Lonchura striata: one gene and its partner. The protein of the gene in region 1 interacts with the protein of each later gene in a biochemical or structural test. Links are inferred from orthologs where the notes say so. Each region holds a gene or a part of one and is shown on either strand. Other genes may lie near its edges.

What was found.
Region 2: the proteins of SNAP25 (region 1) and CPLX1 are reported together in a solved structure, tested with the Homo sapiens proteins (2 studies listed by BioGRID, with this or other methods). The link is inferred for Lonchura striata from reciprocal best matches to the Homo sapiens genes SNAP25 and CPLX1.

The regions. Positions count from the first base shown.
Region 1 is NC_134605.1:23,467,105-23,475,074, reverse strand, and holds the start of SNAP25 (synaptosomal-associated protein 25), read left to right. Parts: upstream 1-4,639; 5' UTR 4,640-4,781; intron 4,782-7,970.
Region 2 is NC_134642.1:3,230,911-3,239,641, forward strand, and holds the start of CPLX1 (complexin-1), read left to right. Parts: upstream 1-5,206; 5' UTR 5,207-5,463; intron 5,464-6,198; 5' UTR 6,199-6,270; coding exon 6,271-6,301; intron 6,302-8,731. UniProt on the Homo sapiens protein: Positively regulates a late step in exocytosis of various cytoplasmic vesicles, such as synaptic vesicles and other secretory vesicles.

The DNA of each region.
Region 1 (7,970 bases):
TTCAGCTTGTTGAACTCATCACAGCTCCGCTGGTTTCAAAGCCCGCACACAAAGAGAATTGCATTTCTGAGTCCAAAAGTCCCAGTTTTAAATAGTCTGTGTTTCCTCTAAACAAGCAATAGCCCACTTAAAGCATAACCTCATTAAAAACTGTGGATTAAAGCAGGGCTTTAATTTGCACTCACTTAAAGATTGACAGAGTATATGGCTGAAATCATAGGGGGAAGTGCAAGTAAATGACATTGTGTTAGAATATATTGGTGTGTGCACTGTGTTTTTGTGCTCACAGAAAGGTTAGGCCAAAGGAACACCACACAGCAGTTCACATCTCTCAGCTAAGCCTGTGTCCTGCTTTGTCTGACATCTGTCCTTCCTTAATTCAGGTTTCTGGCAGGTTTTTGAAATGGTTCCCAAATTCAGGTCATGTGCACAGGAGGAGAATTAAAATCCAATGATAGTTTATTTTACTAAATGGGGATTGTTTTAAATTAAAAATTGGAGTTTAATCCTTACCTGCTGTCTATGTCATAGGAACATAGAAAAAGCTGTTTCTGTATCTTCTTTCCTCTGTATAATATAGGTCAAATGGCTGTAGTCCTCCTTCCTTTGTGTCCAATACTTTTGTGACTTTCTTGGGCAGAGCTTTCTTCTCATGAAAGCTGAGCTGGGCCTAAAATTCCCATTGGGAAGGTTTCTAGAGGCCTCAGACCAGTCCTACCCCCATAGCAGATGATAATCCTCAGAGATGTGGCTATGTTGTGACTACCTCTCATTTGCATAGGGGATAATAGATGCTGAAGTCTGGCATTGAAGGAAATGACACGGTTATAGCACAGCTGTGGAAGGACCAAGCCAAGGCAGGGGGAGCTGGGGGCAGCAGTGGAACCCAGACTCACCAAATATTTAAGTCCTGGTTGCTCTTTAAGCAACTATTCAGGAAACACCTTTGAGGATCTGACTCTGCACATCTAAAAGAGTGATCAGGAAATCAGTGGGGACTCATCTCCAAAGGTCTATGTTGCAATTGTATTTTAAATCTCTGTATTTTTAAACATAAACCTCAGAGAAATCTTGGTTTGGCCTAAACTGGAGTACCTGATCACAGACAGGTCCTTAAAAAAGCCCACAGCCTAACTGTATCTAGAGATCCTGAACATGCAGGGAAAAATTAGGCCCAGCCATTCCCTCCAATTTAATCAGAAGCAGCCTGGGGCAGATAAATGCAAGTACTGTTGATGGTCAAAATTCAGAGTTACATAAAGAGCAGTGAATGACAGAAAGTAATTAGGAGTTCTGCATAAAGGGCTCCATACTTAGACTGTTATTTCACAGCCCATATCAGACTGGGGCATGCCTCAGCACCTCAGCCTGGGAACAGGCAGAAATATGAGAGGCTGGGAAATGTTCAGTGCTTAAGCAGGTACGTTTTTACTCTCTTATTTGCTTTATACTTAGTTCAATTTCTTTCCCACCACATACTTGAGGCCAGGATGAGCAGCATTTGGATAAACAAGATATTTCCCTCTCTGCTGAAAAAAGAAAAAAAAAAAAAAAGAAACTGTGTGAGGAAGGTGGAGAGACTAAAGGCAGTCTTTGTGTTATAACTGACTCTAAGAGAGTGCAGGAAATAACATCCAGGATCTGGTGGCACTTTGAGCATTTTGGTGCTCCCCTCACTTGGCTGCCTAACAGCCCAGCTTTGCAGCACACAGGAGTGCGAGTTGGAACTGGAGGGGATGCTGTGAGCAGCCAGGAAGTTCCCATTGCCCACAGATCTCAAACCATGGACAAAGCAGGTGTCGTTCTTTCCCCCCTTAACCTGCTGCAGGCTGTGCCTGTTCTGCCCTTCTCTGGCTCCTGGCCAGTGATGGGGGAGCACACATCCTGCTGCTGTCATGCAGGAGAGCATATTCCTGCCTTATTATTCATGGGCTGTGCCCACAGGTACTGCTTGTTAAGCCTGCTGAATATTTGTCTGAATAAATTAGAAGGAGCTGAATCATTCTTAGACCAAATTCCGGTTTTCTCTCTTGTCCTACTTCATTTATAGGTTTCTCTTCTCACATATCCCCTGTACACAGTGTGAAACAAGTGTTCAAATAGTACTAGATAGAGTCAATAAAATCCTCATGTGTTTTCTCTTTTTTTTTTTTTTAATTATCCTTAAAAGATGCTAAAGAATCAGTTAAAATTGTTTAGTAGCACTTATTGCGACAGAAATTCCGGCGCTGCGGTGCAAAAGCCTGCCCCCCTCTGCATCTCCCAGGATAGAGGCAGCCACATTCCTGAACAGCACATGGTTCATCCCTTCCCTTGCTCATTTTCAGAATGAAAGGTAGTTGTTCCTACTAAGCTTATTGGGCAACGTTTGTGATCTATTTAATGATTCTGCCCTTTGTTGTTTTATTAAACTATGTGATTTCTGCTGCAGCAGAGCTGAAAAATGAATCTTAATTTTTTTTTTTTTTTAATGCGATATCCCAGTTTTTTCACTGGAAAACTACCTCTTATCCTCCTCCCACTCCCTCTCTGCTGTCTCTTCCTTTTACCATTCCTTACATCTCTTTCCCCAAGTTATGCTGCATTTTATTTTGCCTTCACTGCATTTTCCTCCCTGACTTTTGATGCAAAGAGCTAAATTCATCCCTGCTGGTATCCAATGGACTGAAATTCTTCTCCGAGGCATTATTGGGCTGAATCCAAACCCAGCCAGCATTTTGCAGGGCTGGTGGCTTAGCCAAAACAACAGTTTATAATCTCTCTTATCCTTCCCTTACCTACCGTTAATATGAATTAATAATAAGTGCTAGTATTGCTGTCTCGAAAATCATACTTGTTTCTGAAGCACCCATCAACCGAGCTGTCTGACTGAGAATTCCTTTTTAATTTTCCCTGTGTGCTAGGAAGTTGCACATGGGCAGCTTGGATTCCAGAGCAGGGCTCGCTTTGGGATTCCTCTTGCCATCCGCAGTGCACACCTCACCCGAGTGCTGGGCACAATTAACCCCTGCGGGAGCCAGCCTGCAAAGGTTTCTTTTCCCAAACTGCCGTTTATGACGCTAAATGCATTTTCCCAATCAGGCTGCTGCTCCAGATCCCTCACCTGGAGGGGGATGTCTGCACAGTGTTAATCTCAGGCTGTGTTTACAGCCCGGGAACATGACAGGTTCTCTCCTTCCCTGCGGTTTCCATGTGCACAACTCATTAGATACTCTAATGCAGCAGGAAGCCCATCTCGACTGAGAATTCCTTCTCGTATATTTAGCAAACTTTTGACTGCTTCCTTTCAAAAGAGACTGAAGGACATATTTTCGTAGGAAGAGGGTGAGACTCACAAAGCACGATCTACAGTCACGTTTTTCTGTGGGGAACTACAGAGCAGGGTAGGAGGAATCACCCGCAATTCTCTCTCCTTCTCCCCCGCACCTCCCTCCCCTCCCCTCCCCTCCCCGTCCCTCCCCCATGCCCATACAACCATAACACGAGATGAACGCGCTCCAAAATACAGCTGCAAAGCCTTCCCTCTCTTCTGTCTTCTTCTTGGCAAAAGTGGGGGGCAAGAAGAGAGGATGAGGATGGAATTATCCTAACGTGCAACTGATATTTTGACTCTGCCATAACACAGACTGTTCAGAAAAGCCTTCACACACCGTGTCAGAGTTAAACCCAGGCAGGGCTCACTCACTGCTCACAGGAGAGGCTGAGGCAGGGAACAGGGAGGCATCGTTGCTCATCTCCTGGTCTGAATGGTTCCATAAATGAAAGCCAAGGCTTGTGGGGTGAAAGGCAAAGAATGAGTGAGGTTATGAAAAAGAGCATCGCACTTTGACTGCAATCCCCAACCTTCATCACGATCTCCATTAAGAGATAAATTTTACAAACATACACTGTTTTGTATGAAATGAAAGTATTTCCTCCCCATTAGAAATCACGCTGGAGACAGCTCCATTTGCTCCAAATTAGGTACACTCAGAATGAATATTTTAATTAATTAATGATAAATAAGCCAGGCACTTTTCCTCTAACAGAGTTACCGTTTCCTTCCTCAGCAGCAGTGGGATGTGCTCACTGTGCTGTGTGTGTGTTCATATACTTGTCCAGGCTTTGTTTTTGATTTCTCTCTCTCATTTTTGAACCTGTCCCTCAAATGATCAGTTACAACACATGTCCTTTAACCATGGATTTCCTCGTGTTTGGCTGCCCCGACTTTGGAGAGGGGGGGGAGGAGAGGGAGACTAAACAGAATAACACACCCAGACCCCTGGCAGGATGTTCTGAGAAATAAAAAGAGGGGAGAGAAGGAAGAATTCACACGTAAAAATAGAAGCCCACGTAGATTGGCCATATATGGAGTACCGGGGACTTCAGAGGGATACCCTCTTCGGACCACCCCTTTGGCGGAGGAAATCGCTGCTGCGGGAGGGCCCCTGCCCCCCTGCCCGGGCGGTTCGCCCGCAGCCACCCCCAGCCCGCCGCCCCGACCCTGGCCCCGGGGAGGCGGCGGCGGGGCGGCTGCGGGAGGCGGCGGGGCCGGCTGCGGGAGCGGTGCGGCGGCGATGACTCAAACCCGCCCGGCCCGCTCTGCCCCCTCCCGCTCCCCCCGCCGGGGAGGGCTATTAAAAGCTGCTGACGTAGGAGCGGACGGCCATCTTTGATGAGGGCACGGCTCCCGATCCATTGAAGAAGGAGACCCGCGGAGGTCAGCAGCCTCCTGTCCTTGCCTCCCATCCAGCTGCGGCACCGACCCACCGACCCCGCCGCGCCGCGCTCCGCCAGCCCAGGTAAAGGTGGGACACCACCGCGGGCACCGGCTCAGCAGGGGGAGGGGCGGTATTGACGATAATGAAATAGAGAAAAGGGATATGTTTAAAGTGGGACCTGCTCGGCTTTTTATCTCCAGCCTCTGGGGCTGCTGCGGGGACAGAGAAAGGCAGGGAGAAGGGGGCGATTTCGCCGCCAGCCTCATTGCCGGCTGAAGCCGGGGAGGCAGCCGGGCTGTGCCTCTCGGCCGCGCGGGCGGCAGGAGGCCGGAGGAGAAGGCAATGTCGGAGAAGGGGAACCGGCGCCATTCTCAGCTCCGACCGGGGAGAAGGGCGTGCGGGCGCTCTGCGCTGCTGGGCCGGCCCGGGCTGTGCCGCCCGGAGCACTGCAGCGCCCGCAGCGCGCCGGGCTGCGACGGAGCATCAGCACCGCGGACAGCGCGGGGCCCGAGGGCACGGGGAGGGGACGTGCGTCTGTCCGTGTCTGTCCGTGCGTCTGTCTGTGTCTGTCCGTGTGTCTGTGTCTGTCTGCGTGTCCGTGTGCATGTGCTCAGCACCGCGGACAGCGCCGGGCCCGAGCGAGACGGAGCGGGGACGTCTGTCTGTCTGTCTGTCCGAGTGTGTGCTCAGCACCGCGGACAGCGCAGGGCCCCGCGCCGGGACCGGGGGCTGCGAGCCGTCCGTGTCTATGTCTCTGCGCGTGTCAGTGTGTCTGTGTACGTTCGGCACCGCGGCAGCGGAGGCGGCCGTGCTGCAGCGCCCTGCGGCTCCGCGCCCCCCGCCCCGGGGCTGCCCCCCCGGACACGGGACTGGGAAGAGATTCCCGACTGGCGAGCGGCGGTGCTCCCTCATTCCAGGACAGAACCGCGGGCAAGCGCAGTTGTGGTTCTGTAGCTCAGAGTGAGAAGAGGGAGAAATAAAATTTAAAAACCAAAACCCAACCAAACAACGACAACAACAAAAGGCAAATAACATCAGTTCCTGCAATTAATCGGCGTTTGGCACTCCAGCCCCTCTCCCTGGAGAGGTGTTTGTGCAAGGAAGGCGGGGGTTACATAACGCCTAGCCCGCGGGGTCCCCCCGGGGCCGGGTCCCGCCCGCGGAGACCACCGGCAGCCCCCCGGGGTTCCCCGCAGCCGCGCTCCGTGTCCCGGCGCCGCTGCCCGCGGGCGCCTCGGGCGCTGCGTGCCGCGGGCTCCGGCGGCGCTGCGCCGTGACACGGGGGACATCAGCCCGCGCCCCCCCCGCCCGGCCCCGCGCTGCGGAGCGGTGCGGAGCCGCCGCCTTATGTAACGCGGGCTGCCCCGTCACGGCTCCTGGCCACAGCTCCCCTGGCGCCGCCGGTGTTCCCTCCGCCCGTCCTTTCCACTTCCTGGCACCCCAGACGCCCAAACGCCTCGGTGCGGTCCCAAGTTGGCAACTTCGCTGCAGTTTTTTTTTTTTTTTGGGTTTTTTGTTTGGTTTTTTTGGGGTTTTTTTTTTTTTTTTTTTTTTTTTCGGGGCGAATAAACAAGGGGAGAAAGGGGGATTGGGCTGCGTGTCCAGACACTGAGCTGCGTAGCTGCGTCAAACCAGAGTCGCGGGATCTGCCAGATTACGTGCTTGGCTTGAATAATTGCTGCTGGTTTCGTTCCCAGCTGAAAAGCAGAGGTAGGGGGGGAAATGGGGGGCTGGTCTGCGGCGCTGCCCAGGGGTGGCAGAGCAGTCCCTTAACCCAGACCCGTTTGCTTCCAGCCCAGGCCACAGCATCTGCAAGGACATGCCTGTCCCACACCCCCACCTCGTCCTGGCTCTGGGCATGGAGCAGCTCCCCCAGTGATCAGCACGAGGATGGTATGGGGCAGCCACCCCTTCAGGTGGCAAGGGGAGGGATGGAGCCATCTGGGAAATGTGTGCTCCGGTGGGAATGGCTGGGGAAGACACTCTCTCCTAGGCCCCCAGGCACCTGCACATCCCTGCAAAAAAGCCAGCCTAGGAAGAAGCAGCAGTGGTTTTCCATTGCTTCTGCATCGTGCAGAACAGGTCAGCCAGGAGGTGACTGCTGAAGAGTTTGGTTCCTAGGATGAGTGCCAAAAAGATAACAGAGGTGACCAAACCAAAGATGCAGGCAGGCCTGACTGGCAAAAGCAAAAGCTTGAGGCTGCCTCTGAAGTCAAGAGGTGCTGCAGAAACTCAGCATGTTACAAAACCAAATGCAGCTAGATAGCAACCCCAAATAAATGCAGCTTAACTTTTTTTCCACATCTAACTAGAAAATGAGAGTGACATTTCTGAGAGCTCTCGGGACCAGGCTGTGTGTCCATTGAACTCATGGGGGCAGTGAAAGAAAGAACAGCAGAATCCAGCCAGCACGAACCCTCAAAATACATCTAATGAGATGCAGCTCCACTTCCCAGATTTATTGCAGTGAGGTAGGAGATGCTTTTCAGGTCAAGGAAAGCTTTTCATTTTTCTCCCTATGCTTTAGACATGGCAACAAATGACAAGATTAAAGTGCTAAGGCAAATAAAGCATGGTCTCTGCCTAGTGCTTGCACTGCTTTAACTACATAAGGTAACGAAACAAAACTCTTTTCCTGTCAGTGTGAACAACTTCAGCGATTTGTATGTCTATGTGTCACACAGCTACAGCTGCTGCATTTGTAGCAACCCTCAGGGAAAAATGGAAAATATATGGCATGGTGTAGGACTCAGTTTGCTAATGATTTCTTCTCTCAGGAATGAAGAGCAGAAACTGTTTTCCCTTTACCTTGGCTTGTTGTCACACCATTACTCTTTCTCTTGCATTTTTTCCCCCCAAATCTCTGTCATAACATTTTATAACATAAGGAGGACTCTTTCATCTATACACATTTATACCCACACACACGCTTATTTCAGAGATTTTCAGGGTTCCAGGCTGGGTAAAACCACAACAGATGCAGGCTGACTTTGCAGCATTCATTGGGCAGAGTACATTTTTCCTGTCGGTGGAGTTTCATGCCCTGCTGCCAATGCAGCCACCTTTGGGCTGGACCAGTGCCAGGCAATCTGTAACAACAGACTTGTTCAAGCATTTCAGAGCTTTAAAGTCTAAGGCAGACAAGAATAATGTGTTGCTGGAGAGCTGCTGCAGGATGCACTTCTCAGGCAAATCCTGATTACCTCTAGGAAGCTGGACTTTGGAGCAAGCATAGGGCTCGTCTATCTACTCCTGGGAATGCTGGATATA
Region 2 (8,731 bases), on another chromosome or scaffold:
TTCCAAAATGAGCTCAGAACTTGAGGCTACTCTTTTAACACAGGAGAAGAACTACAGGCCATAGCATCTGACACCAAGCTATCATTTCAGCCAAGCATAATACTTCCCTCTGATAATTTTGTTTTCCAAGACATAGAGTAATAAAAGAAGGCGAGGCAAAGAATTAATTACCTGGGAAAACAGAAATTCTGTTGTAAAGTGTGTTTGACCTTTTGAATCTTGCTTGCACTTTAAATTGCAACAAAGAGGAAAAGTATGGCATCTTTTTCCCCTCTCCATTGACAGAAGAATTCTGAAACAAATCCAATTTACTCTGCTATGATTTTGTTTATTTTTCATACACACATGTATGGCTTGAAGCAAAGAGTCAAGGCAAAGTGATTTGGTCATGGAAAAGGTGCAGCACTTTTGATACCTCAAAGTAGAATGTTTCAACAGCATCAAATATATAGCAGTAATTTTTTTTACCTTCTTTGCTTCTAAACTCCTGTACAAGCTGACAGATTCCAGAATGCTCTGGTTTGGATGACTTATTCACTGGTGGAAAAATTCTTGCCAAAAGTACTTGAAATAATAATCTTATGACAAAAACTTGATACACTTTGGATAGAGGCATCTTTATTTAATCACTGCAGTGATAAAGATGGATTCTTGGCTTTATGGACAACTTCTGTCTGCCAAGGAAGCCTTGTAATCTACAGCTGTAAATCCTGGAGATAAGAGGTACAGGATTTACCTGATCATGCCTATCCACAGGAATCAGAGTCCTGCTGAGAAGGGATTCTCAATAAGTCTGGCAAGGCAAAAACTTCTCCAGAGAGAAGGAAACAAAGAAAGGAATGAGATAGAGGGACTAGGGGAGTAGAAAAGGTAGAAAACAAACAAGAAGTTGTCAGCTTAAGAGCTAGAGGCTATAAATGGCAGCCTACCAAGGGTCCTATTCATAAAATAGACTGGGGCATCTGTGTTCATTAAAATAAAAAAGAAAAAAATTTTAAATTATATGGTTTGCACTCTTGTGTTCACATGTCATTAAGACAGAACAATCAATATGTGTCTGTTTCAGTTTTTCTGAGGGTGGGCAGCTAAAATTTGGTCTTGTGATAGCTGAAACAAATGCTCAACTAGAGAGTTCACCTTCAAGAAATCTCAAGGGACCAGAACTTCAGAGCTATTAGAAATGGCTGTAAAATCCTTTTATAATTTTTCCCTGCTTTAGGGAAACATACACTTCTTAAAAAGAATGTTATTTTTTTTTAAATTGGTTAGAAAATAAAAACCTTAAAGCCTGCTGTAAGTTGAATGTAACAAGAAAAAAAGCAGTACTTTTGAAGAGGTAAAAAATGCTTGAATTCTGAAATGTTTTGGCAGTCAGAATTGACAGTTGAAGAGAAAATGAAACAAACAGTAGATTTGTCTCAGTAGATGTGTTCAGCGAACTAAACCACTGAAGGATTTGCAACTGTTGTACACAAACTACCTTTAGCAAGTATTGACTCCTCTGTCTCAGTAGCTGTGTTGATAAAAAGCTAATCACCCTGCTCCTGTGCAGGTCTTGCCAGCAGCCTACTGAACAGCACAGCAGTTCCAATAGTGAGAGCTAATAAAAGATAGGGGGGAAAAAAGAAAAAGAAACTAAGTATGTTCATTTCGGGCGGCTGCTTAATTACTTTCTATAACATTTACACTTTGTTTGTGAGCTTTCTTATTAGTATCATTTTCACATGGCATTGGTTTCAGTTTAGTAGTCAAACACCATATGGAAATGAATAATCAAACACTGCGTTTTAAGATGTTGAAATGAAACATCCTGACTAATTTAATTTTTTTCTGTCTGAAAACAGACCCTTCCTTCTTTTTAGAGATACAAATATAAATTTTTCTATGGAAAATGTCACCAAACTCAATTATTGGCTTATTCCACTTCTTACACAGATTCCCAGCTGGTGGCCAAGGAAGGAATCTCAGTTCCATGCACAAAACTCCATGGAGGAGATCTTTGCTCAGTGTTCTGCACTCTTCATCTGCACCGAGCAAGGTCACAATGTGGATTCCTACTGTTCTGGTTCTGCAAGCAAGAACAAGCCTATTCCTACCATCAGGAGCAGGCATTTGTCAGCTACACAGTGCAATCCAGACTAAGAACTGGCTTTGGTGTTTGGAGAAGTTTCGGAGCTGTCAGGGCGGCTGTTCTCTGTCCATGGTGCTGGGATAGATCCCACTCACAGACCGCAGGCTCCATCCCTCACTCTGGTGAGAAAACGCTGCTGTTCCTGGGATTTGTTACTATCCAGTAGATCTTATAAAATTGCATTACTGCCAGATTCATACACATAAATTTTTATGAACCTAGGATATTGGTACATGCCATCAGAAAGAAGATGCATGTGACATTGCTCATATCATTACCATGGCTGCAGGAGCTATTATTTCTTGTGTATCAGACATCATGTATGGCAGGTAAATCACCTAGCAGATCCCCACGAGACTGTCTTTCCAGCTGGGTTTCTTGGAAAATTGAGGAAAGGCTCTGCCTCGGAGGTAAAAGCCTTCTCAAGAAGTCTTCCTAAGACTATGAATAGATGCAGATCATAGATTACATCATCTCTTTTGACTGTGTGCTTTCTTGCCTCTGTGCCTGATCCTCATGTGGTGAAGAGTGTACTGGTAGGAACTTTCTTGACCGAATAGTCAGAGTATCACCTGGACGGGAGGTACCCAAATCAGGCTCACAAATGATTGGATTTTCATCTGTACATCCTGTGGGTGGTACAAGGAATCTGGCACTTGAGGCAGGGTAGAGATACTGAAGTTAGGACTTAGAGTATCTCACTGGAGTTCGTGATTTCATGATGATGTGCCTTGGTCTCCTGAAGAGGAGGGAACTGTGAGGTAGTCAGTGTTAAGAGCTCAGTATCATGATTTTCTGTGTCAGCTGTGTAATCTGGAAAATGTGGGTGCAGTTTGGAAACAGAACCATAGGTACATGACCCTTGGAGAGTGGGCTGTCTCTGGAAACAGACCAGCCAGTCTAAACAGGTCAACAAGAAGCTCAGGGATCTTTCAGGGACTTCTGGATGTCCCTATTGTTTTGTCTGGCTTCTGAAATCCCTGTGGATGACGTCACTCTTCTCTGCACAGAGGGGAGGACAATTGCTGTTGCAAAGTTTGTAAGGAACCTATGAACAGGAACAATGACATTTCTCAGCAGCCCCACTTGGTTATGCTGACCCTTGACTGCTGCAGGAGTTCCTTGATGTAGCATGGTCCAGGATTCTCAAAATAGGAAGAAGAAAGCTGATTTTAGGCAACTGGGTGTTCTATCAGCTCACACTTTTCTGATCCTTCTGTTTGAAGGTATTTAATTGCTCCTTCCCAGACTCTGGGACACAAGAGCAAGGTGTGCGTATGGAGGTTTGCTAGTCTGGGATGGGGATGCTGTCCTTTCTCTAGGAGCAATCATATGATGAAAAAGGAATGTGAGGTGTGATATGACAGACCCAAACTATAAACCCTGCTCAAAGGCATATAGACACTTGGGGAGGCACCACAGATCTGGAAACACTGTGTTAATAGCATAGAAACCCAGGCACACAGCTCCAGCAGGCTCCCAGGTTCATTTCTTGAGCACAGTAATCTGTGCTGACAAACTCCTGTGTTATGTATGAAAAAACATAAAAAATACTGCATTATGCCTTTTGAATGGTGAGTTCAGGTATAAAACACTCACTCTTGTTCAGGTATAAAACACTCACTCTGGGGGTGAATTAAGGTATAAAACAAGAGGCTTTTCCACCCTGTCTTTTTCCTCCCTGAAACTTGTTAGAAAAAGTGCAGCACTGCTTACCCGGGTGACTTTCTTGGACTAACATTAGTGTCAGCTGCAAAAGTGGTTTTCTGGGAGGCTATAGAATAGAACAAAACAGTTCAGGGGAAGGGGACCTAAAGAGACAATCTAGCCCAATTGACTCGATCACTTCAGGATGAAGTGGTGTTATAAAGGGCATTATCCAAATGCCTTTGAAGCACTGACAGGCATGGGGCACTGAGGCAGACCCAGGTGGTAGACACGGCTCTGAGTGTAGAGATATGCACTCCTGCATCTGCGGCTGGCATCTGAAAGCTTTGCAGACTGCGGAGCCCCGATGGCTGCCTGTTCAGAGCTCGCCTGTTCTGGCTCCGCACGCCTTTCCGCGGGGCCAGGTGCGGGCCCGGCGTCCTTCCTGACCTTCAGACGATGTCGCCCACGGGCCGTGCCAGAATCTCCCCGGGAGGCGCCGCTGCTCCCCATCCCCGAGCTCCCCGTGTGCCGGCAGCATCCCGCTCTAGCCCCCTCCTTCCTTTTAGACCCATATATTACTCTGGGGGTTGCTGTCCCACCTCTCCTGCTGGCGACAAGAGGGCGGATCAGCAGCAGAACTCGTCTCCTCCCCATCCAGCGCCAAGCCGGCTGTCAGCATCCCTAAAGGTGGGCGCCGGTGCTCTGGAGTGGATATTGCTCTGCTTTGCCACATAGCGCTCGCACAGCTCCTTCCTCCTCACCTCCAGATGCCGTCCCGAATCCGGGCTGGACAACGGGTCGCTGCACTGGCGTCCTTCAGCGGCAGTCGCAGGGAGACAGACGACTTTCCTCTTTCCCCCCATCCCGTCCCTCCCCCCGGCCTCGCCCCCCCAACCTGGATAGCGAGAGCACAGAGACAAGCAGCCGGCGATTCTTCTCCGGCCGCAGTTAATTCGAGGCGAAGCAAGAGGGAGGAGAAAGTCTGCTCCCTCCCTTGTCTTCTTCCTTGCCTCTCCAACTCGTTCCAGGACCTAGGGAATGAGAGGGGATCTGGGGGAAGGACTCAGAACAGAGGATGCAGAACGCTCTCCCACACCCTCCCCCTTTTTGCAGGAAGCCGTGTTTGCAGAGATTTCCCCTGGCACACACAGACACTGACTCCCGAGGAGAGGCAAGGAAACCAATTGCAAAATGCTACAGCGGGCTGACAGCGGCCCCTCCTTCCCCCCACGGCACAGCACAAGGACACCTGGCTGCCGGGGACAGCAGGGATGGGGCGGGGGACAACTCGCAGACACTCGCACCCCTCCGCGGGTCGGGGAGCGCTGCCGGCATCCTCGGCACCGAGGGGCGAGGGCGGCGCAGGGAAGGGGCGGGGGAGCCGGAGGCAGGGGGAGGGAGAGAGTCCAACGCCCGCAACGAGGGGAGGAGGAAGGAGGGACCGTGTCGGTGGGATGGTCCGGAAATGCTGTGATAAAAAGAGGGGCGCGGGGGAAAAAAAGTAGGGAGAAGCTGTGGACTCATTCCTTCTCCCCCACTCCGCGCCCGCAACTTCCCCGGCGAGCCTCGGGCACACGGGCGCCGGCGGAGCCCGGGGGAGAGGAGGGAGAGGAGAGGCAGCCCCGGCACCTGCCGCAGCCCCTGCCCGGCCCGGCCCGGCCCGTCTCAGCACGCCGAGCGAGGTACCGGCGCCGGGGCGGGCGGGCCGTGCCGAGCCGGGAAGGGCAGGGAGGAGAGGCGGGGTGCGGGCGCACGGAGACGGGGACAGCTCTTGTCCCTCCAGGTGTCTGTGAGCCGATGCTGAACTCGGGCGGGGGGTGGGATGAAGGAGCTGTGCAGCACCTGAGGCTGGTCTCAACCTTGAGCCGTCCCGGCTCACCCTGAGGAGGTGCAGCCCTCGCCGGCGTTGCGCTGGGGGCTTTCCGAAGGGGGACTTTCCATCCCGCTAGCCGGACTGCATCCGCATCCCGATCGCCCAGCATCCCCCGCTTGTTCTCCCGGGCACTTGCAGGGCGCTTCACCTTCAAATGCCCCCTCGGCGGTCCCGGGCGGACCTGCCACCTCGGAGCAAACCGAGAGGGCGAGAAGCTAGGCGGGGAAAACGGGAAAGTTCAAAGGTTTAACTCCTTCCTGCCCGTCTGCAAGGAAAAAAGCCATGAAGGGGGACCGCATTGCTCCTCCGCACTCCTCCCGGGCGCTTGCCCAGGCTGGGGGAGCCGTCGTGTACCCCTGAGTCCTCCCAGCCGCTGACATGCAGCTCTGCTCCTTGGGGTGCCCGTGCAAAGCAGGGTCTGAAAGGATGGAGGGCTGGAAACTTGTTTGCACTCAGACAAAGGGAGGAAGACTGTGGGAAGAGAGCTGAGGAATATCAGGCATTATAGAGACACTATTCCTGTTTTAATTGTGCCTCTTTGCAGGCTGCCTTCCAAGGATTTCCAGTCTCTGTGCATGTGAGGTGTGAAGGTGGGCAGGACCCCAAGTGACAAATCATGGATTTTGTTATGAAACAAGCTCTAGGAGGTAAGTGTGATTGGCAAACAAGGGGCCTTGAATCCCTCCTACCCCTCCCCTTTCCACTCAGAAAGAGAGGAGATGGTCTACTATAGTAGGGACTGCACCTGGAATAGCTTATTGAGGACTTGGAAGAGCATGCCTGTCACTGATTAATGATCCCGGAGTGGAGTATTTGGAGAATCTGAGCAGGAGAGGGCAGCAACAAGCAGAGACCAAAGCCCCATGTCAGAGAAGAGACCTCCCACACAGGGTGTGCGGGCCCTGGGTCATGCCTAATTGGCACCTCACCACCTGGATGCACATCCTGCTGTGCAGCGCAAGCCTTGATTTGCTTCATGCCATGACACTGAGGCAGATATTATAAAGGACAAAGACTGGTTTAGGCAGAGTAAGCCCAAAGAAAGAGTGACATTTTGTCTATGTGTGTAAACCTTCTTTCATCTTTGGCCCAAAGACCAGCCAAATCCTGAACAAAAAATGCCCAGTGCAGAAATTTCTGTCTCTGATATTTTGATAGTTGTTTTTGGTAAGGACACTGCCACAATAAGGATGGAAATGATAATAAATTATTCCTACACACTTTACCTGGATTTAAGGCAAATCTTCTGTGGGTTTCTGTATATTAGTTTACGTGTATGAGGAATTATTTTAACCTAACGGTGTGAAATACAAAAGTTAGGGATGCGTGTAGGCAAAATTGAAAACACTGAATAAATATTTGGGAATGAGGTTCCTTTTTTCTGCCACAGTTACTTTCTAGACTGCTTGACCTGGACATTTGGTCTGAGCATCCCTGAGGTGATGCTGGATGCTGTTGGGAACTGAAATATTTGCCTCAGAGGAAGCTGATAATTCTCTTTTGTACTCTATTTCTTGTGTGCATTTTTCATTATTTTTGCTTTGAAGAAACTGTAGAATCATGGGGCTGTGTAAATGTTTAATGTGTGGTGATATTGATGTCATATACAACTTCAACATTTACTGCAGGACTCTATCCCATGGTGTGGAAATAATGTTTTCATCTCTGAAAGTGGTGGGTGTTTTTCACCAGAGGAGCAAAATTTTCACAGTTTAGAACAGAGGAAGCAACCAAAGTTTTAGTTGGGGTATTTTGAATAGGGAGATAAAACTGGAGAAGAAAGGGATGAATTTGTTTTGCATGAAACAGTGAGGTATGAGGACATCTGCGTGAGAAGGTAGCGGTTTGTGTGGCAGCAGCACTGTGCTTCATTTCACTCTTCAGTGCCTGTTTTGAAGGAGAATTAGTGTTAAGATGTGCAGACTTTGCACTGTTTGCTGTAGTGCAAGGTTGCTTGCACAGAATTGAACTAATGTACCTGCAAACTGGAGATACAGCAACTACAGCTGGAGATCCATAAATCCAGTGAAGGGACATAAATGCTCACAGACTGCAGCTAAAGGTGGGGGGAGGAGGGCTGCAGCAAAGGAATAACATCTACCATGGCTGCTTTTTTCTGCAGCTTTGTGACTTAACATGAGTTGGAAGCAGTGTCTGCCCGTGCTTAACAACATTCACCCTGGGCAGACCTCCTTCATTCTGACAAGATGTTGCATGCCAAGGTCAGGATTTGTATGGTAATAGGACTTTCTGAGAAGGTAAATTCAAAAAGCATCTTTTTGTGAAGTCTGAGCTTCTGATGTCAGTCAAGATGCTGTCCAGGGCACCAGCTCTTCTGCCAGATGACTTAATGTGTCTGGAACTTACCCACTTACTCAATAAAGGAGAAGTCTCTGCAGAGTGGTAAAATCCAGGAAATGCTAATTCATTAAGCAGAGTCCTATTTTTAAATTACAAATAGTTTCAACAAGATAAAACAAGATCTCCCATTGCAAATCTAATATGGAAAGTAAAGTGGTTTTGGACACTGGTTTCTCCCTGGAGTTAAAGCCCAAGCTGATGCAAATCATCCAGGCTGGCCAGACTGGCACAGCAAACCAAGGACTAAAGGATATAGTTTGCTTCCTTAGTTTTGGGTCCAGAACCCTTTATTTCTGCCAGTTCTGATATCCAAAGGGAGATTTACTTAAGAGCTGGACTCAGTGATCCTTCTGGGTCCCTTCCAACTCAGACTAATCTGTGAATTGTGTCCACAAGGATGGTCAAACTGAGCAGACCACCAAACCTCTAGTCAATAGGCTTGCTTTGGGTAGGGCACGTGGTCTGATCTGCTAGTGACTATTTTTATTATCCTCACTTTTTGGGAGGTCCTTGGGTGGATTTCATGGCTCTTTGATTTTAGTTTAATATGGTTTTTCCCAGAACACATCTAAATTCATTATTCTGCTTGATAGGATTTTTTAAATTGTGCAGAAGTTCTTATACTATTCTCATAAGCTCTTATGGATTCCTGGAAGAAAGAAAAAAATACTGCAGTTTTGTCATTAAGGTCTCCTCTAATTTACAAAAAATCAGAC